Alligator mississippiensis: one gene and its partner. The protein of the gene in region 2 purifies or fractionates together with the protein of the main gene of each other region. This does not show direct contact. Links are inferred from orthologs where the notes say so. Each region holds a gene or a part of one and is shown on either strand. Other genes may lie near its edges.

The links.
Region 1: the proteins of RRM2 (region 2) and CCNF purify together in Homo sapiens (affinity purification with western blotting; 5 studies listed by BioGRID and IntAct, with this or other methods). This does not show direct contact. The link is inferred for Alligator mississippiensis from reciprocal best matches to the Homo sapiens genes RRM2 and CCNF.

Annotation. Positions count from the first base shown.
Region 1 is NC_081836.1:27,359,485-27,369,743, forward strand, and holds the start of CCNF (cyclin-F), read right to left. Parts: upstream 3,982-10,259; 5' UTR 3,888-3,981; coding exon 3,875-3,887; intron 1-3,874. UniProt on the Homo sapiens protein: Substrate recognition component of a SCF (SKP1-CUL1-F-box protein) E3 ubiquitin-protein ligase complex which mediates the ubiquitination and subsequent proteasomal degradation of target proteins.
Region 2 is NC_081824.1:30,487,395-30,497,578, forward strand, and holds the start of RRM2 (ribonucleoside-diphosphate reductase subunit M2), read right to left. Parts: upstream 4,689-10,184; 5' UTR 4,636-4,688; coding exon 4,540-4,635; intron 4,451-4,539; coding exon 4,373-4,450; intron 4,255-4,372; coding exon 4,108-4,254; intron 2,270-4,107; coding exon 2,153-2,269; intron 1,572-2,152; coding exon 1,438-1,571; intron 534-1,437; coding exon 439-533; intron 1-438. UniProt on the Homo sapiens protein: Provides the precursors necessary for DNA synthesis. Catalyzes the biosynthesis of deoxyribonucleotides from the corresponding ribonucleotides. Inhibits Wnt signaling.

The DNA of each region.
Region 1 (10,259 bases), on a different chromosome or scaffold from region 2:
AAGCCTTCAAAACAGCTTTGAAATTAAACAAGGGAACTCAAAACATTTCGAAAAGTTTCGAAACATTTCGAGTTTCAAAGCCAGGCTTACTGGCTTCAGCACCAGTCCCAGCTGGCAGCACCTACTTCCTGTCATCTGGCAGGCAGATCGGGACTCGCCCACACCCCCGGGAGGGCTGTGGGGGGCTGTGCGAGCCCTTGATCTGTCTGCCAGATTACAGACTGGCACTGGGCACAGCCAGCACCAGGAAGATCAGTGCTGCACCTGGCTCCTGTCAGCTGGCAGGCAGATTGGGGGCACATAACCCCAGGATGACTCCAGCACAGCCCCCGCAGCACTCCCAGGGGTGCCGGCAGGCCCCTGATCTGCCTGCCGGCTGACAGGAGCTGGGTGCTGCTGCCTGAGGCCAGCGGGCCAGGGCAGATCAGCTCATGCAAGGACCCACTGCCCCAATCCCAGGGCGGAGGAGGGTCCCCGTACAAGCTAATCTGCCCCAGGCCCCACACTCGTCTGGAGCTGGCTTCAGTATGGGGCTGGGGATGATCAGCTTGTGTGGGGACCTGCTGCCCTGATCCTGGGGCTGGCTCCAGGCAGGTGCAGATCAGCTGGTGCAGGGACCCTTCCCTGCCCCCGGATCAGCATGGCGGGTCCCTGCACGAGCCGATCTGTCCTGGCCCCGCTGGCCCCAGGCAGCAGCACCTGGCTCCTGTCAGCTGGCAGGCAGATCGGGGGCCCGCCGGCACCCCTGGGAGGGTTGCGGGGGCCATGCCGGAGTCCTCCCAGGGGGTATGTGCCCCTATCTGCCTGCCAGCTGACAGGAGCTGGGTGCTGCCGCCTGGTGCCAGTGGCGGCACTGATCTTTTCAGTGCTGGGTGCAGGCTGCGCCCAGTGCCAGTCTGTCATCTAGCAGGCAGATCGGGAGCCTGCACTCCTTGGAGGACTCCGGCACAGCCCCCGCAGCCCTTCCAGGGGTGTGGGTAAGCCCCCGATCTGCCTGCCAGATGAGGAGCCAGGTGCTGCTGCTTGGGAGTGGCGGCAGCAGCGATCTCCTCAGCACTGGTCTCAGGCAGCGCACCAATCTTCTCTCATCTGGCAGGCAGATCAGGGGCCACACCCCTGGGAGGTCTCCGGCACAGCCCCGGCAGCACTCTCAGGGGTGCAGGCGAGCCCACGATTTGCCTGCCTGCTGCATTTTATGTTTCCCCATAACCTATGGGCAAAACATCAAAACAGTGTTGAAACAGCAAAACACTTTTGACGAAACGAAACGGAACAGTGCTTTCGAAACAAAACTAAACGAAACTCGAAACGAAACACTGTTCCGCTGAATTGTCAAAATGGAAGTCGAATTGGAACGGTGCTGTTTTACACAGCCCTACTATGTAGAGCTGTAAGCAGCAGCCCAAGGGAAGGAACTGCCCGTTGGCACCAGAGACACTGGGTCAGCATCTGGAAAGGGGCCTTTTTTTCACCTGGCTTGAAGTGCTGAAACCACACACTTAAAAAAACAGAGTTTAAATTCTGCAAAGGGAGTCATCGGCCTCCTCACCAAGCAGTTTTTCTTCTTGCCAACATCAAGTGTAGCTTTAAAGTTCAGCTTATAGGGCATTTATACACGCATCTTTACCTGCTCCAACATGCCAGAAATCCAGTGTGTCCGAGAAGACTCAGTTAATCAAGTCTGTGGAGCACACAATCTGATGTGCCCGGCGTTACATCGCCTACATTTGTATAAAGGGTGAAATGCGCATCAGTGCTAAGAAAATGGCGGCGGTGCACTTTTGAACTAAAACACCTTCGATTCATTTTAGTTCAAAAGTGCACTGCTGCCATTTTCTCAGCGCTGATGCACTTTTCATCATTTATACAAATGCATGCGATGCAGCACCAGGCACTTTTAAAAAGCACCTGACACTCTTGTTCCATGTATGTGTACAAATGCCTATAGATCTTATCCAATGAGATTCTGAATTTATTCAGAAAGTCTGATCAGCTGGGTTTTCCCCAGACTTTTCAGGAAGATTTAAGGAACAACCCCTTTGCAAGGATTTCATCATTTATTTGTAGGGCCACAGGGACTGATTTAGCTGAGGATGTGACAGAATGAAGAAACCCATTACTGTATAAGGCACTGGCTACCAACTTCTCTGAAAAAATTCTCCACCCCCATTTTTCACTATTTCAAAGAGGTGAAGGTTTGGGGGTTTTTTTTTAATGTTGTACTACTAGAAGGAGAGATTTTCTGTAGATTGCCTTCCTGGCCTGCTCTGTTTTCCATTCTCACTGTCACATTGTAACAGACCAGCATACAGAGAACCCTACAGCCAAGTGCTTCTCTGGTTCCCACCATGGAAAACACTGGGTGGCATAATTTAGGAGGGCAGAACCAAGATAGCTAGAGGGAAAAAGTCTGATTGGCTGCTTTTGAGCTTCCTCCCTAGGACCAGTGACACTGACGCAGGTTCAGAATTGCCTCACTGATTGGGAAATACCCAGCTGGAGGAACTATATTGCCCACTACAAGTTATAGGTATTTTTGCAAAGTAAAGTGGCCACATCCTATGCACCAGAATAGAACATCTTTTTATACCAAAAATGAATGCATCCCACTAATTCTTTTGAGATCAATGGCCACTGTTTCAGTGGGAGCCCCTTGCTATGTCAGTTACCTTTGAATAAAGATTATAGCTATGTGATAAGGGGCAATTCTGACATTGCCACTATCTGGCAGGTGTTCCTCTTCTCTTCTAGAATGAGATCTACTGTAAAGTAATAAGGCAACGCAATCTAGACTGATGTGTCAATGATGCCTTTAGTCAGATTTGAAGCCTGACTCATCAGCTCAGAGAACTGAAGCTGACAACACGGCTCCCCCGGCCAAGAACATTTAAGAGGAAGACTACCAAAAATTGCCACATGAGCTATAAACAAGCATGTTTGCACTGTGTGCACAGATTGTATCACCAATATATTCCAAGCAAGTCCTGATTAAATAGGCAAATGTACTATAAGTTCCTTCAGTTACTGAAGGCAATATGTTGTAGAAAGAGATCTAGCACTGCCTGCATGCCTGCAGCAAGAAACAAAATACATTAATCTCAGGCGTTTTTAAATATTCCTGTCCCATTTATGCAGAAAGAACAATTAAAAAATAATAATTTGTTAAAGTAACCTGGTTTCAGGAAAATATTCTTAGAAAACAAACACACAAATATAAGATGTAGGTGTAAGTGATTCACCTGTATGTATAAAACAGTTATTACATAATCATTAATTAGATGCTCTTCCACAGGTGACTAATAAGTAATTTACTTTGGAAGAGACTGTGTCTGCTCTGCACCTGAGGAGTCAGAAACACTTTTGCGAGGCAGGGGGGGCCGCCTCTCCCTTTGGAGGGAAGAGACTTGACGGCACAAGACAGGAGGTTGCTGCCCCCCCCCCCGCCATGAACGGAAGAGGAGCAGCCCAGCGCGGGCATCGCGGCCCGGCAGACGCTCCCCGGCCGCAGGCTCCCGCCGCCCGTGCTGGCCGGTCACGGCGGGCTCACACCTCGGACTTCGCTCTGGCATTTTATGGTCGCGGCACCCCGCGTCGACCCGCTGCGCCCCCCGGCGGAGGTGCCCGAGGTGCCCCCTGGCGGACCGGCCCCGGCCCCGGCCCCGGCCCCGGCCCGCGCAGTCCCTGCGGATTTTTAAATCCACCCGCCCAAAGCAGCGCCGCTCCCGGGCTCCAGCCAACCAGGGCCGGGCCGGGCCGGGCCAGGGCTCCCCGCGGCGGCCCCTGTCCGGGCCGGAGCCAGCTCCTGGGGCAGACGCACCCGACCGCCCGGGCCCCTCGCAGCGAGCCCGGCCAGGGCCCCGCGTCCCGCTCTCACCGTCCGCTCTCATGCCTGCCCCGCGCCGAGCGCCCCGCGACCCGAGTGGGCAGCAGCCGGTGCAGACTGAGCAGGCGGCCGGAGCCGAGGGCGGAGACCGGCCAGGGGCGGGGCCAGACCGGGCCACGCCCCCAGCACCGGGCCACGCCCCTCAGCCCCAGCTCGGGTCGGGCAGAGAGCGAGGCGAGCTCCGCCCAGGCCCCGACCCGGCCCCTGCTCCGCCGCCAGAACCCCGCCCCCTCCGCTTGCAGAGCGGCCCAAGCCACGCCCATCCACCGCGCGCACTTTTTTTCAAACCCAGCAGCCGTCCTGATTGGCTGCAAGGCCGGCGGGGCAGGCGGAGCGGCCTCGGCTCCGCCTCCTCCCCTCTGTCATTGGGCGCTCAGGATGCGAATTCGAATTGGGGCGGTTAGCGGCGCGCGCCGCTCGCGGGCTCTGGGGCCGAGGGGAGGCGCATGCGAAATGGCCCCGTCCTCCCCTGGGGGTGTGGGAGCGGGGTGAGCGCGGCCTGGCGAGGCTGTCTCGGGCCTTTCGTGCATCCTCTGTGCTGTCTATGGAAGGGCTCGGGCGCCTCATGGGGGGCCCTTGCAGGCAGAGCTGGGTGCGGAGGCGCTCGGAACTCGCAGGCCCCTGTCGCTCCGGCCACCTCAAGCTGCAGAGCACGAGTGGCCGCAGCCCTGCCAGTGCCCCACGCCCCCCGTGTGAGGCACATGCCCCGATTTGTGGGCACGGGCAGGAGCTGCCGCCACAGCCCAGCGCCTGGGACCCAGCGTGGGAGGGCGGAGCAGGGCGACAAGACTCGCGGCTGCCGCCACCACCACAGGGCCCCCGCGCCGCCAGCAGTGCTGGGCTCTGCTCCACCACCATGGCCTGGCTGCTGCCGCCGTCGCCACCACTGCCCTCCTGCCTCCTGCACTGCCTGCCGCCCACCGCCTCCAGGGTAGGGCCGCGGCCTGCAGGGGGCGGCAGCACTGGCTGCGCCATGCAACAGGGTAGAGGTGGGGGCAGCACAGCCCCCACCCATTACTCCTCATGCTGCTGGTGGCACGACTGGCGCTGGGGTCCTGGTGGCAGCAGCAACAAGCCTCGCTCCGCTCTCCTGCGTGCTGCGTCGCACGTCTGTGCTGGTCTGGTCTGGCCAGGCCAGGCTGCAGCCCCGTGCCTGCTGCGGATGCCCAAATCTGGGGGGACACATTGCCCCCCATAGACTTACCTGTGGGGAACTACAGGAGCTGCTTTCCAAGCTGCCTGGCTGCCACATGCATGTGTTGCCCCTTGCAAGCCGGCAGCTTGCAGGCTAACACTTTTCCACATTTTTCTCCTTTAAAGGAAAAAAACACGATTTTCCACATTTTTATGAGATTGTTTGAGACCTTTCATATATTTTTGGGCTGCACCCCATGGGTTGAAAAATGCTGCTCTAGACCATCCTATGTTTTCATCCCCCCCTCCCTCTGGCTCGGCAGGTATGCACAGCTGGAAAAGGGGTTAAGAGGAGGTGCTGGGAACTAGTGACTTCCGTGCCAAGTGGCACCAGCCTTCACCTCTAGTATTAGGGACCTCCGAATAGAGCTTCGATGTCAACAGCGTATGGGGAAAAGTTGCTTAAGATTTTAGACTGGGAGGCAGAAGGGGAAAGATAATAGCTGAAGAAGTCCAGGGAAACAGAAAGAAAAAGAACCAAAGTCTATAGCAGAAGAGTTAAAAAGTAATGTCTTCAGGATTAGGGAAAGGAGGACAAAGCACATGGGATGTTGGGAAAGGAAAGAAAAGGACAAATGAAACAGCCTTAGGAGGAAGTAACAGAGGTGCTCAGGAGAGAGAGAGAGAATGAAGATGCATCTTGAGGAAAATGGATAGGAGAGCAAGTCTGCTTCTGCAGAAGGGGCTGTACTTGTCATCCCTTGAAGATATTAGTGGGTTTTTAACAAGTTTGTGCACAAAGAAGACAACAGAAAGAAAAGCTCTTTGCAGGGTAGAGTAGTTCTCTGGAGACCATAAGCTGAGAGAGACTTTTCTTGTCCTTAGGTATGAGGACATAGCTCATACTGGTTGATACTCTCTTCTTGCTAGTATGTTAAATGATAGTAGGGTTTTCCATATCCTTGTGTGTGTGTTTACAGTATTGCTGCTGCTTTTATGTTTCTTATTTACTAGGTGGTCTAAGACAGTAGGAGATGATTATAGTAAAGGAGAGACAATATTTATATGAGCTCATGAAAATTAGCTAGGGAAACTTGGAAAGTAATAATAAAGGCATTTGCTTTGTACATTGTACACTTAATCTCAGGTGTTCCAAAATCTAACAAAAGAAATGTGTGCTCAATGTTTTTTTGTGGTTTTTTTTTTTTATTCTAGTACCCTGCTCTGTCCTCATATCCATCCCCACCAGAGGGGGTCACAACACCTAAGCCAGTCATGCACCCATTCTCTGAAGGGGATTATGTCCCAGTACAGCTGTTTCTGTCCATTTTATATAATATAAAGCTATATAAGCTATAATATCCCAGCACTTTTGTCTTTTCATATAAAATTAAACCAAAACATTCAATATGTAGCAATATTTTGTGTTTTTTAATTTCAAGGTGAACAAAGTAAATCTCAAAGCCACTTTCTTCTAACTCCTATCACTTAAAAATTATTTGTGTTTGCTCCTAAACTGAAAGGTGCATAGTAATGACTACACTTCTGCCTCTGCAACGGAATGGTGACTTCTGCTTACTCAAGAGAATTGTCAAAGCACATCTGGGTCTCTTATGCACAGGACAGCCAGTCACACAAGTCCTGCAATGTGAAAAGGGATTGTAAAAAGCTTTCATGCAGGTACAAGTTGTCTAATTAGCAAATTCTTTTTTTATTAATTATTCTGATGCTAGTAAAAAGTTGTAGATTGATAACTAGGATCTCTTATTTCCAAAGCTGGAGGGATCAAATATCCTACATTGCCTTTTCAGTGCATCTCAGCTGCAACTTTCCGATTAGGGAGGGGTTCCCCTCCCCCGCAACAGCCCAGCAGGGAGTTGATAACACAGTGTTTATCACCCCTCAGTGTTTATTAATAACAGCCTCTCATTAGTTCAAGCTCTTCTTAAACAACTTTTTCCAAGGAGGGACATTACCAGCTACCTGTTGATTAGCTCCCAAAAGCCCTAAGCTGACACTGTGCTGTCTGCCTTTGTCCTGTCTCCTGCAGCACAGACCATAGCCAGCATGTGGTATGCTAGCTAATGCTGAGAGGTGTCCGCATAAGACAGAGGGGAGGGGGGATCCCTGCTTGAGCAGGGGGTGAGGGGGAAGGGGAGAGCACGAGGGAGCAAGGCAGACCCCACTGTACCTGCAGTCTTTGCCAGAGCTGCAGCCAGGGAGCACAGGGGAGGAGCTAGCCTAGCTCTCTGGAGCAGAGAGCCCCACCCAGCCAAGTAAGCATGCCTGGATGCTAGGGGATTCTGATTTACCTTAAACCAGGATGGGGTCTGGGACAGATATTGCATAGACCAGTTTGGCCCAAATCAGTTAAGTCTGATACTACATTCAGCCAGATTTATCTCAAACCAGTTTCAGCCATTTTCAAACTGGTTAATGTGCACTGAACATCTCTTCTGTTACAGGTTTAAACCAGTTTCTGATCACTTAAACTGGTTTATCTGTAATGTCTGTCCCAGGGGTTGGAGGTCCTGCTCATCTTAACTAGGAACCTGGACTAGTGATGCTCAATCAGGGTGCCACGGCATCCTTTTAGGAGTGCTCTGTGGGGGCCCATGCAATTTTAGTATTGTTAGGATTCAAAAAATAAACCCAGAAGTTTCAAAAGGGAATTCATAGTGTCAAAACCATTCTGACCTGTTGTGGTCTGAAATCTTTTCAACAGAAGAATTGTTGATACTAGTTGAGAAGCTATTGTTACAGAGTTGAGAAATAAGTGAAAGCTAAGAGCTGGCATTTTTTGAGGGGTGCTTGAATCTAAAATAGTTGAGAAACACTAAAGCTAGACTGAGACTGCGAAATTCACCAACCGTCAGATAATAAATATATGCATTGCTTGCTTTTCTCTGAGGAACTCGGATACCGTGTCATTAATATTTTTCTCTCACAGATAGTGAAACTGAGATAGAGTAGCTAGATAACTTGTCTAAGGTCACACAGGAAGTCTGTGGCAGTGTTGAGACTAAGACTGAGGTTTGCAACCCTTCACTTCCTTGCTATCACCATTAGACTAAGGAGTCCCCAAACTTTTAAAGTGCAAATTTTAAGAGATTGTCATGGGGGTATTCTATGTTATCTCAATTTTGATCACACAAATTTGCTTCCCCTGTCACTTGTGGCTACATAATGTCTCTGTAGCACATAGAACAATTACTCATGTGAAAAAGTAATATTGGGAATGTTGTCCATGTTAATTTTAGCTTCTTTTCATGAGAAATGTTGTCCCTTTTGAAAAAAGTTGATCACGCTAGCTGCTTTTACTCTTCATCTCCCCCCTCACATCTGTTCTGTTTTTATAAATCATTTCAGCCAGAAACATGTGAACAGCTAGCTCCCTGAAGACTACCAGTTGTTCTCTGGCCCACTAGTGGCGCATACTGGTTTGGAGATTGCTATATTAGACCACGCTTCTAAATGTGGGGATTCATAGATTCATAGATGTTAGGGTCGGAAGGGACCTCAATAGATCATCGAGTCCGACCCCCTGCATAAGCAGGAAGGAGTGCTGGGTCTAGATGACCCCAGCTAGATGCTCATCTAACCTCCTCTTGAAGACCCCCAGGGTAGGGGAGAGCACCACCTCCCTTGGGAGCCCGTTCCAGACCCTGGCCACTCGAACTGTGAAGAAGTGTTTCCTAATGTCCAATCTAAATCTGCTCTCTGCTAGCTTGTGGCCATTGTTTCTTGTAACCCCCGGGGGCGCCTTGGTGAATAAATACTCACCAATTCCCTTCTGTGCCCCCGTGATGAACTTACAGGCAGCCACAAGGTCGCCTCTCAACCTTCTCTTGTGGAGGCTGAAAAGGTCCAGTTTCTCTAGTCTCTCCTCGTAGGGCTTGGTCTGCAGGCCCTTGACCATACGAGTTTCCCTTCTTTGGACCCTCTCCAGGTTATCCGCATCCTTCTTGAAGTGTGGCGCCCAGAATTGCACGCAGTACTCCAACTGCGGTCTGACCAGCGCCCGATAGAGGGGAAGTATCACCTCCTTGGACCTATTCGTCATGCATCTGCTGATGCACGATAAAGTGTCATTGGCTTTTCTGATGGCTTCGTCACACTGCCGGCTCATGTTCATCTTGGAGTCCACTAGGACTCCAAGATCCCTTTCCACCTCTGTGCCACCCAGCAGGTCATTCTCTAGGCTGTAGGTGTGCTGGACATTTTTCCACCCTAGGTGCAGCACTTTGCATTTCTCCTTGTTGAACTGCATCCTGTTGTTTTCTGCCCACTTGTCCAACCTATCCAGGTCTGCCTGCAGCTGTTCCCTGCCCTCCGGCGTGTCCACTTCTCCCCATAGCTTTGTGTCATCTGCAAACTTGGACAGAGTATATTTGACTCCCTCGTCCAAGTCGCTGATGAAGACATTAAAGAGTATCAGTCCAAGGACCGAGCCCTGCGGGACCCCACTGCCCACACCCTTCCAGGTCGAGACCGACCCATCTACCACGACTCTCTGGGTGCGACCCTCTAGCCAATTCGCCACCCACCGGACTGTGCAGTCATCCACATCACAGCCTCTTAACTTGTTCACCAGTATGGGGTGGGATACCGTATCGAAGGCCTTCCTGAAGTCTAAGTATACGACATCCACCCCTCCTCCTGTGTCCAGGCGTTTCGTAACCTGGTCATAGAAAGAGACTAGATTGGTCAGGCACGATCTGCCCGCCACAAACCCGTGCTGGTTTCCCCTCAGCATAATTTGCCCTGCCGGGCTCTCACAAATGTGAGCCTTGATAATTTTTTCAAAGACTTTACCAAGGATGGAGGTGAGACTGACCGGCCTATAGTTGCCCGGGTCCTCCTTCCTCCCCTTTTTGAAAATGGGGACCACGTTAGCCCTTTTCCAGTCCTCTGGGACTTGGCCCGTGCGCCACGAGCGTTCAAATATTCCCGCCAGTGGCTCTGCAATGATGTCGGCCAGTGCCTTCAGCACCCTCGGATAAAGCTCATCCGGGCCTGCTGACTTAAAGGCATCCAGTTCTTCCAAGTGACTCTGCACCACCTCAGGATCTACGCATGGAAGTCTGGCGCCTTGCTGCTGCCTCTCTACAACCCCAGTGAGAGACTTGTCGTGTCCCTCACTTAGGAACACTGAGGCAAAGAACTCGTTGAGGAGTTCAGCCTTGTCCCCCCTGTCTGTCACCAATTGTTTCTGCCCATTTAGCAGCGGTCCTATTCCTCC
Region 2 (10,184 bases):
TTTTTGGCTATTTTCTTGACCTTCATGGCTACACTATCCCTCTAGTACAGGGGGTTTCAACTTATTTAAAAAAAAAAGTGTACCCCAGTGGCTCCATGTCCAGCCACCAGGGGCAGTGTAGGGTGGTGGGTGGCAGCAGCAGCAGCCACCACATGCTAGCTTCTTTCCCCATGTCCAGCTGGTACCTGTGCAGGCCAGAGGACAGAGGAGCGCCGCTGCCCTCATCCCTGTTCCTGGGAGGCGGCAGTGTGGAATGATGGGTGGCAAGCGCTCTGTCCCCAGCCGTCCGTCTACACATACCTCCTAGGGCCTTCAAGTACCCCTGGGGGTACACATACCCTGTTGACAACCCCTGCTTGGAGGAAACATCACTACTGAAGGCTTGCATGGGAATGACATTCAATATCCAGGAAATGCATACTCCAAAACTGCACTCACCGTATGTTGCTTTTCTGTCTCCAATCCAACGCAAAGCCCAATCAGCTTTCTTTTTAACACATGGCAGAGTTTCAATAGCATTGAAAAGAAATTCCCTGAAGAAAGTGTATAGTACATTAGACAGAAGTCTACATGGCAGACTATTCAATAAGCATTTGCTAAGAGTTGTCATTAAAAGTGCTGTCACTGAAGCAGCTTTAACTGCCTGCAGCTGATGTATTTTTAAATGTAAAGACCTTGGGGGCTGAGATTTTTGTACCACTCCAACTCTGTCATCCTGGCCGATCAACTGAGCACATTTACCCAGGGTTTTCAATGCAACAGTCAGTCCTCACACAAGGCAGCAATATGGCTTTGAAATTAGCCTTAAAATTGTGGGGGATTTTGTTTTTGTTGTTGCTGTGGGGTTTTGTTTTGTTGTTTTTTTTAATTGCTCAATCTGTAATACTTTTTAGACTGATAGTCTTGGAGCTAACCCATTTCCACATCACCAGTTTTCAAAAAGGAACTTGTTCTTTGGATGGCAGTTTTTAAGCTTTATGTACATGTTGCTGTCAAAAAGGAATGTGTGCTTTGTTGCATTAGAAACTACTGGTTTAAAAATAGTTCAGCAAAGTGTCACATATTTCAGTTACCTTGAAAGGCAGTACCAAAGTGGAGATTTAGTCAAAAGAGCTGTTGTAGTTCTCAAAGAAACGCAGTACTGGGTCATTTATCTGTTCACTGGCTAATGCAATGAAGGCTTAGTCCTCTACAGCATAAACAAAATAGTTTGAACGTTCTACCTACATCTTCAACTTACCATCGCTTGTCATTTATACTTGACAAATTCTGTTTGCATAATGTTTTGCCTTCCTGCTCTACCACCAGATTGTTCTCAACCATGTTTACCAATGCTTTGACCATCCTAACTTACTATCTTCCAAAAAAATCAGACCTCTCCATCTTTTCTTGCCTCCACTTAAAATAATTAAGCCTTTTACGATATATGATACTAACCTGTCTTTTGGATCTTTTATGTAAGTGTCGATAAGCAGACTGTACATTTCTGAATGAATGTTTTCCATGGCAATCTGGAAGCCATAAAAACAGCGAGCTTCTGTGATCTGCACTTCTTGGCTAAAACGCTCCACCTAAAGGAGAAACCGAATAATTAAACATTTATAGAAATAACAACCAACTACAGGTTGCAACAGAGCTATGAATCCACACAAGCATATTTAAGTAAGTCACGATAACTAGGAATAAGACAGGATAGTTCAATATTCAGAACTTATTCTGGTAACACAAGTTAGAATACCAGCATTCCTTTGGCTCTGTGTCCCAGAAAAGTGCCTCCATTTTAAAAAGGAGGAGATCTGGAGACTGAGTGATCTGCCTAAAAGCCAAACTAGAATTAGTGACCGAATGAAGAATAAAACCCAATCTACTCCAACCCTTTGTATTCTCTTTATAAAAAAAAGAAAAACAAAAACTCTGCTTTGTACTCATCAGGGAAGTTTACTGCCAAAAATGCAGATTCTAGTCTAAGGAACAATGCTGGCTTTAGGGAAAAAACAAGGCCTCCTTCCAAAAAAAGCAAACAAACCCAGAAGTGTTTAATAGGTTTTGGAGCAGAGCAGTCCGTTAGTAAACATCTTATGTTGTTATCTGGTTAGCTCCACGCTAGCCCAACTGCTTACGATTTAAACAGGACTGCTCTTCATACACTCACCAAGTTTTCATTTACAATGCCATCACTTGCTGCAAAGAAGGCTAGGACATGCGATATGAAGTATTTCTCCTCAGGCTTGAGGGACTCCCAGTGCTGAATATCTTTTGAAAGATCCACCTAACAAACAAAAAAAACCAAACAGGCAGCAATTCATCATTGTCATGATTGGAAAATATAGGGTTTGGGGTTTAATATATTGCATTAGACCCATTAGGTCCCATTCTCAGTCTTCCTTCAACCTATAATCCCCGCCCCCAAAAAACAGTTATGAAATTAGAGGTGTGATCCTAGAACAGGGGTGGGCAATTATTTCAGTTGCATGGCCACCTAATGAGTTTTGGTAAGCTGTCAAAGGCTGCATAAATATTTCAGACGATATCATTTTAACAAGTTAACAGATCAGATCCTAAATACCAAACATCTACTGCACTTTAATTTTAATTAAAAAAAAATATTTTTGCCTTGACTTATTATGCAATCACCTCTATGTGTACTAAAAGTATAGCTCAAAAACAGTCTCACTCTTGTATGTGGGGGGGGGTATGCAGGTGCCTGTGAAGGGAGGGGGGGAGGGGTGTACAAGTTGTAGCAGTGTTGGTCTACAAGCAAGAAGGAATAAGAACTCTTGGTAGAGGTGATATCTTATTAGACCAGCTGGATATTTGCAAAAAGTATTTGCAAGCTTTCAGGGACATGTGAGGGAGTAGGCATGTGGGGCGAGTGTAGGGTGTGGAGGGCATGCAACAGAGCTCGTCCAGACAGGTTGCAGACACGTCACCCTCCCCTCCCCCACTAGGCTGCCTCAGTGGCACTCTGCATGGGGCTAAGCCCCACCTACTCCTGCCCAGGGCAGCCCATGCCACATTCCCACCTGCCAAATAGCACTGCCAAGGTCTGTGTGCGCAGCTTCCCAGCAGGGCTGCTCCCAGTGCTACTTGCCCCCTATGTCCAGCAGCTCTTCCTCCTGCTGCACTGCTCCAAACAGTGAGGCACCACACATGTAGCCAGCAAGGGGGAAGTTACAGCTCCCATGCCAACATGTGGGACTATAACTCCAGGTTGCCTTCCATCTAGTCAGCTGCCTAGCAGGGTGCTCATTGTGCCAGGCAATTGAAGTAGATGGAAGGCAGCTAGGAGATGAAGCCCTACACACTGGGGCAGGAGCCACCAGGCTGCAGCTTCCCCCACACCTGGCTGGGCATCTGCTGCCCAGCATGCATCCCCACAAAATGGTACAGGGGCAGGTGGAAGAGGAGATAGGTGGGAAATCAAGCAGCACCCAGGCAGCTGCAGCTACACCAGGAGCAGCTCTGTGGGTGAAACTGTGCACACTGGCTAGGATGGTGCTGCCTGGTGGGTGGGGGGGAAGGAATGGGCAGGACTCACCCCACACAGAGGGCCGCAGGGGTGGGGGGCAGCCAGGCTGGATACAACTGAATTGGTGGATGCCTGTCCATGGGCAGGATCCAATAAGTTGACAGGCCAGATCCAGCCTGTAGGCTGTATTTTATTCACCCCTGCCCTAGAGCCATAGCAAGTTGCAATGAAGTTTCCAACTACCTTAAATTTTTTTCACTTGAGAAGTGCTCAGGTGCTGGTGTCTAGGCATGTGTATATGTACAGATGTAACTAGACACCAGGTGCATGCACCTGAGCGCTTCTCAAATGAAAAATTCAAGGCAGCCAGCTGAGTGCAAGAAGCGAACCCTGGAAGGAACAGCAACAGGGTAGCCTCCTTTGCTTGATACCCCACAGATCAAAGTATTGGAGACCTCCAAGCCCCTGCGGCCCCCCGGGTTTTGCCATGGGGATCATTTTAAAGCCACAGGGCTACTTTAAAGCCATTGTCTGGTCCCTGGGTAGGTGCTATCAGGAGCCCAGTTGTGTTGAGTGGGGATCCCGGCTGCCGCCCCCACTGCCGGGAGCAGCTGCCTGATGCCCCGGGCCGCACTCACCTCCTCGGCGGTCCAGAAGGAGGCCTCAGCCTTCTTGTACATCTGCCACACGTCGTGGTACTGCACGGGGAAGATGACGAAGCGGCGCGGATTCTCCCGCAACAGCGGCTCGTCTTCCGGCCGGTGCGGGACGGGCTCCGGCGGCGCCTGCAGGACACGCGGGGAAGGTCACGGGGGGCCGTGGCAGCGAGAAGTGGCGGGAAAACAGCACGTGGGGGGGGGGGTTGGCGGGAACGGAGCACGTGTGGGGAGGGGGCGCACTCACCGGCTTGGCGTCCGCGTCCTGGAAGATCTTCCGCGCCGCGCGGCTGGCCAGGATCCGCGTGCTGCTCAACGTCGGTGGCTGCGGGGAGAGAAGGGGAAACGGGGCATGAGCAGGGCGCGGGCGGTGGCAGCGGCTCCGAAGCCGGCTGGCCTGGGGCAGGCACTCACCGTGTTCTCCTTGTCGCTCAGCGCCAGGTGCTTCATGGGCGACAGGCGCGGCTGGTCGTTGCGGGCCGAGAGCGGGGCGCGGGCGGGCTGCATCATGATGCTAGTGCTGCTGGCGGCGGCTGTGACAGGGCGCAGGGCAGGAACTGGCGCCGGCGGCCGAGACCCTTTATATCCCCCTTCGAACTTGGCGCCCGAACGCCGCGCCCACCAATGGCAGCGCGAGCCGGCCTCAGAGCTGCGCTCCCATTGGTCCGAGTGGCCGCCGGGCCACGCCCTCCATTGTACATGAACGCGGGAAGAGGGGCCAAGCCCGTCCCCTCCGCGCTGCCATTGGCCGGAGCTGCTGGCCTGGCCACGCCCCCTGCACAGAACAACCGCGGGAGCTGCAAGCGGCCCCTTCCCGCGCGAATTCTGGCGCGTCGCCTCTCGGGATGGCCCCTCCCCCACGGCCAGGCCCGCAGCGCGGAGCTTGGGAGGGGTCCACGTCCCAGTCCCGGTCCCCAGCACACGGGGATTAGACGGCGCCTGGGGCTTGCGATGCCACAAGCTGGTAGCGGGGTCGGGTGCAGAGACACAACTCCAGGCAAACCCGGAGATTGCACACAGGAATCCGTGTTCTGCCCATCCGTCTGCTGTGGGCTTTCTGGGGGTCTTGGCAACAGAAGAATTCATCAAGTCCTAGAGAAGTCGGGTGGAGGGGACCTCCAGAGCTCATCCAGTCTGGCCCCCTGCCTGAGGCAACATCACCGCCATCCCAGCCATCCTATAAAGTCATAATCTAAACTCTGCTCAGCCCTGACACAACACAAACTAATGCCCTCACCTGCTGCAGGTAAAGCAGGGGAACCCCTGGCAGCCAAAATCCTACTTCTATTTATTTCAATCTAGTTGAAGTATTTCAGTGTATTTCATGTGTTTCAGCACATGCTCAAAAGAGATCTGGGGTACAGACCCCTGCCCCCCCCCCTCTGAATTAAGGCTAAAAAAACCCCAAAACCCACAGTCTGTGCCAGTCTGACTATGGGGTAAAATCTTTCTGCCCCCAAATACAGTAAGTGGTCTGACCATGAGCAGAGGGGCAAGACCATCTAGCCAGGAACCTCTGGCTTTGGTCCCAGGAGGAGCATTGGCACGCCCCACAGTCCCCAGCCTTGGCTGTAGCCAACACCCAGTGCCTCTGAGGGAGGCTTGAAAACATCCCCACACATGTAGCAGAAAGGGGGCTGGGGGAGGGCAGGGCAAAGTTCAGAAGTAGAGGAGATACCCACAGTAAAATATAGGCATAGCTATGCCTCGATCAGCTCTGGCCCTGTGGCTGTCCAATTTCTTGAAGACCTTCAGTGACAGAATCCATAGGCGATGCGTTGGGGGGGGGGGGGACATGTGCCCCCCCTGAGATTGGCTGCTGCCAGCTTCTGTGGGTGATCACCACTCACCACCCCATTCCCTCCCCCCTCGCCGCCGATGCTACTGCCTACAAATGATGCCCCCCTGTCTCAGGAGGCACCAGTCGTTCATGGGAGAATCAACAACTTCTCTGGGCAGGCTATTCCAATGTCTTGCTGTTCTAATACTCTAGTATTTTTCTGAAGTCAAAAAAGAGTGACAACTAGGAGCTGGCATTTTCTGAGAGTGCCCTGGGTCTGAAACCACAGGATTATACAAAAATAGGGCCAGAAGGGGCCTTATGAGGTCACCTACTCCAGGCCCCTGCTCAAGGCAAGAGCTGATTCTATTCTGTGGCAATGATTCCCACTGATAAACACAGGCTGTGTAAGAAGAGGTTTCCTTTTATATGCTTCAGAACTCCTACCTCCCCATTGAATGCCCTTCTGTTCTTTGTAAAGGAAAATGAGAGACCCTGCTTGAGGCCGTGCACAATTGTTGCCAGCTCTTGTGCATTCTTTGCACACGAATTTGGCAGGGCAGGAGCAGGTCTCCCACAGTAGAAGTTCCAGCCACACCTAAATGTCAGCGGTGCTTGGGAGGAAACAGCCTCTCACAGCAGCCAACACAGCTCCTGCAGGAAGTACTCTCTCCCTGCCTTCAAGAGGCCACAATATAAGCACAAAGGAAAAGAAAGAATCCTCTAATCCTTCACACTCCAGTAAGCACAGGAATGGGACCTAGTGTAGGAAGGCGGGGAGGACATAGTATATTGCTTCCCCCTTCCCAGCCTGGGGAAAAGGTGAGGGTGAAGAGCCCCAAGAGCTGCTGGGAGACAACACCAATGTGTGGTTTGGCCCTCTTATAGCAGGGACAAAAAACCCCTTATTTAGGAGCACTAAAAACAGTAATTAATTATCACACACAGGAGCAGCAGGGAGGCTTCAAAAATCACTATGCAGATGAATATATGTTTTTTTTAAACAAACCTCACTGACTGGGGGGAGGACTAACTCAGGATTTTTGAACCTTTGGAATTGACAAAAAATGTACTTTTGTTTTGCTTTTTTTCCAAAGCTATCATATCCTTTCTTGTTCATCGTTTCTCCAGCCTACAATCCTAAAGACTCCTCTCCCAGCTCCTATTGAAATCTCTTCATAAGTTTCATGATTTTTGTTCCTGGTTTCTGGATCACTTCTATTACAATTACATCCTTTTTTTTTTAACTAGGACTGACTACAGAATACTATATGAAAAGGTGGCAGTGAGAGAAGAGATGTATGTACTGGCATCAATTAGAATATATTTAATTAGTAGATGGTTCAGAATCAGCAGTCTAGAAGTGTGTGTGGGTGGTTGCAAAAAAGAAAAACCTTCAGAGTGAATGTTACTGAAGCAGGAATGTCCAAAGCCTTGTCAAGATGGGCACGTTTTACGGGTTTAACTTAAATTTGCTTTTAAACTACTACAACTGAATCAGTGCTGTTCCTGTAATGAATTATGATTTAAAGAGTAGATCAAGTCAGTCTTTTTTTTCATTTAAATTTGTTCCCAATTAACTCAAGCTAAAACAATAAAAGCCCTCCTTATATCATCCTTATATCCCTAGATTACACAAGGGATTTGTAATGTTTTAACTATATTGTTTTAAATATATATTTGAAAAGCCTTGCTTACATGAGGAAATGTACTCGGATAATTATATCCCTACAGTTATATGGCTGTGACTGCCCAGGCACATATTTTTATTCCAGCTAAGAATGTCCATGTAGGGAGTTATACTGGTATAATTATAGCAGAATAATTATACTGTACATATCCTCATGTAGGCAAGCCCTTTATGTTATACCTGTGTAATATTTCCCCTGCAGAAAAGACCCGATTGATATGCACACGGCGTTCTGTACTATCATTTCAGGCTGGGAACTGCTACATATATTCCACCAGTGTAAATATAGTGCAGCAGGTGTACCACTAAAATTATACCAGTCGTTTCTTCACATAGACACATACTGATATACCAGAACAACTTTCCCCACAAAGATGAGGCCTGGCTGAGGTACACACAGCCTGAAATAGTTCACAGAACTGTTTTCCTTATTTTAGTTGGGGGTTAGCTCAAGACCTAATTTAATATAAACAGTGGCATCCATTTCACACCCAACAAAGTATGCCAAAGAGGAAGAGAGAATTAACAGCTTACATCTTCCAAAGACTTAAGCAAGTGCTTAACTTCATCCTAGAGGGTCTAAAAGTAGATTCCCTATGTGTTATAGATGTGGAAAAGAGGGAACAGCATAAATAGTGCGTCATGGGCTGAATCAAGAATCTGTAGCCACCCACCCTACACAGAAGGATATGCCCAAATTGCAACAGAGTCTGTTAATCCTAGATTGGCCACATCAGCCGTCTTCAGATTCACAGATAAAACAATCATGGAAATCAATCATCCTTGAGACTGCAAGGGATTGCTGAAGAAGAAGATAGACCTGCTTTGATCTTTGCAGGATCAGGGCATCTACTCCAAATTTCTTTTTAAATTTTGGTATCAAAAGTTGGGTTTATGCTGGAGCATGGAAGAAAATCACTATTCTCCTCCCTCCCATCTGATTGCTGTTTCCGGTGGGAAGACTTGTTTTGGTGGAAGATCATCTGTGTATATACACACCACTTTCACATATCCCTCCCCACCCCCTTTTTTTTTTTTTTAAACAGACAGCTGCTAGAAAGGGAAAAAGACCTGAAAATAGTTAGAAAGAAATAAAGAACTGAAGGCAACTATCAATGGAGGTTTCTCAGAAGCAAGGGAGTGTGACACTGTGGAAGTTAAGGATTAAAGGGTAGAATGAGCAAGTGATCACAAGCAGAAGAAAACGACAGCCAGAGAAGCGGCCAGAGCATAAACTGTAGTTGGAAAGGTCCCAACTGCAGAGCTTTGCAGAGCCTGGAAGGCTGCAGACAAGACCCTTGTTGCCACACAATGTTCTACTAGCAGAACTACGTCAGCTAAGGGTGTCCTGGAGCCAATATAACTTCACCAGCAAAACCCGCAGTGCAGATACAGCCTCAGTGTGGATGTACAGAGCTTCTACACAGGGAGAACTCCTGTAGCTGTGGCAGCAGAAAATCTCCCATCTGCTAAAAGACCCACACAGTAAACTGCCTCAGTACCACTGCTGTAGCTGAAGCAGTAGAACTTCCCTAATATAGGCAAAGCCAAGGAATTTTATATCAATGCAGAGCAAGAGTAATAAATATTGATGGTAATGTATTATTATTAAACTAGCAAACTGCCCATCAAGAATGATAGAGGAAAGGGAGCTGGCAGGGAAGAAGCCCCATGTCCATAGTTTCATAGTTGGTAGGGTTGGAAGGGACCTGAGCAGATCATCAAGTCCGACCCCCTGCCATGGGCAGGAAAGAATGCTGGGGTCAAAAGACCCTGGCAAGGTGTCTATCTAGCCTCCTTTTAAAGACCCCCAGGGTAGGAGCAAGCACCACTTCCCTTGGAAGTTGGTTCCAGATCCTAACTGTCCTGACAGTGAAGTAGTGCCTCCTGATATCTAGCCTGAATCTACTCCATCAACTATCTCCATCTATCTCCATCAACTTATGGCCATTATTCCTTGTTACTCCCAGTAGTGCTCGGGGAACAGGGACTCTCCCATTGCCTGCTGGCCTCCCTTGGCCAGTTTATAGACAGCCACCAGATCCCCTCTCAGCCTTCTCTTGTGAAGGCTGAACAGGTTCAGGTCCGTAGCCTCTCCTCATAGGGCCTGCCCTGCTGCCCCCTGACCATGCGAGTGGCCCTCCTCTGGACCCTCTCCATGTTGTCCACATCCCTCCTGAAGTGCAGCACCCAGAACTGAATGCAGTACTCCAACTGCAGCCTGACCAACGTCGTATAGAGGGGGAGGATCACCTTGGACCTGCCTGTGATGCATCTGTGGATGCATGACAAGGTACAGTTAGCCTTCCTGACTGCATCCCTAATTGGCGGCCCATGTTCATCTTGGAGTCAATAGTGACTCCAAGATCCTTTTCTGCCTCTGTGCCGACAAGAAGGGAGTTCCCCAGCCTGTAGGTATGCTGCTGGCTCTTTCTCCCTCGGTGCAGTAACCTGCACTATTGAATCCCATCTTATTCTCATCTGCCACCCCTGTAACCTGTCCAGATCCAATTGCAGCCTGTCCCTCCCTTCTAGTGTGCCCACTTCTCCCCACATCTTAGTTTCATCTGCAAATTTGAACAAGGTGCT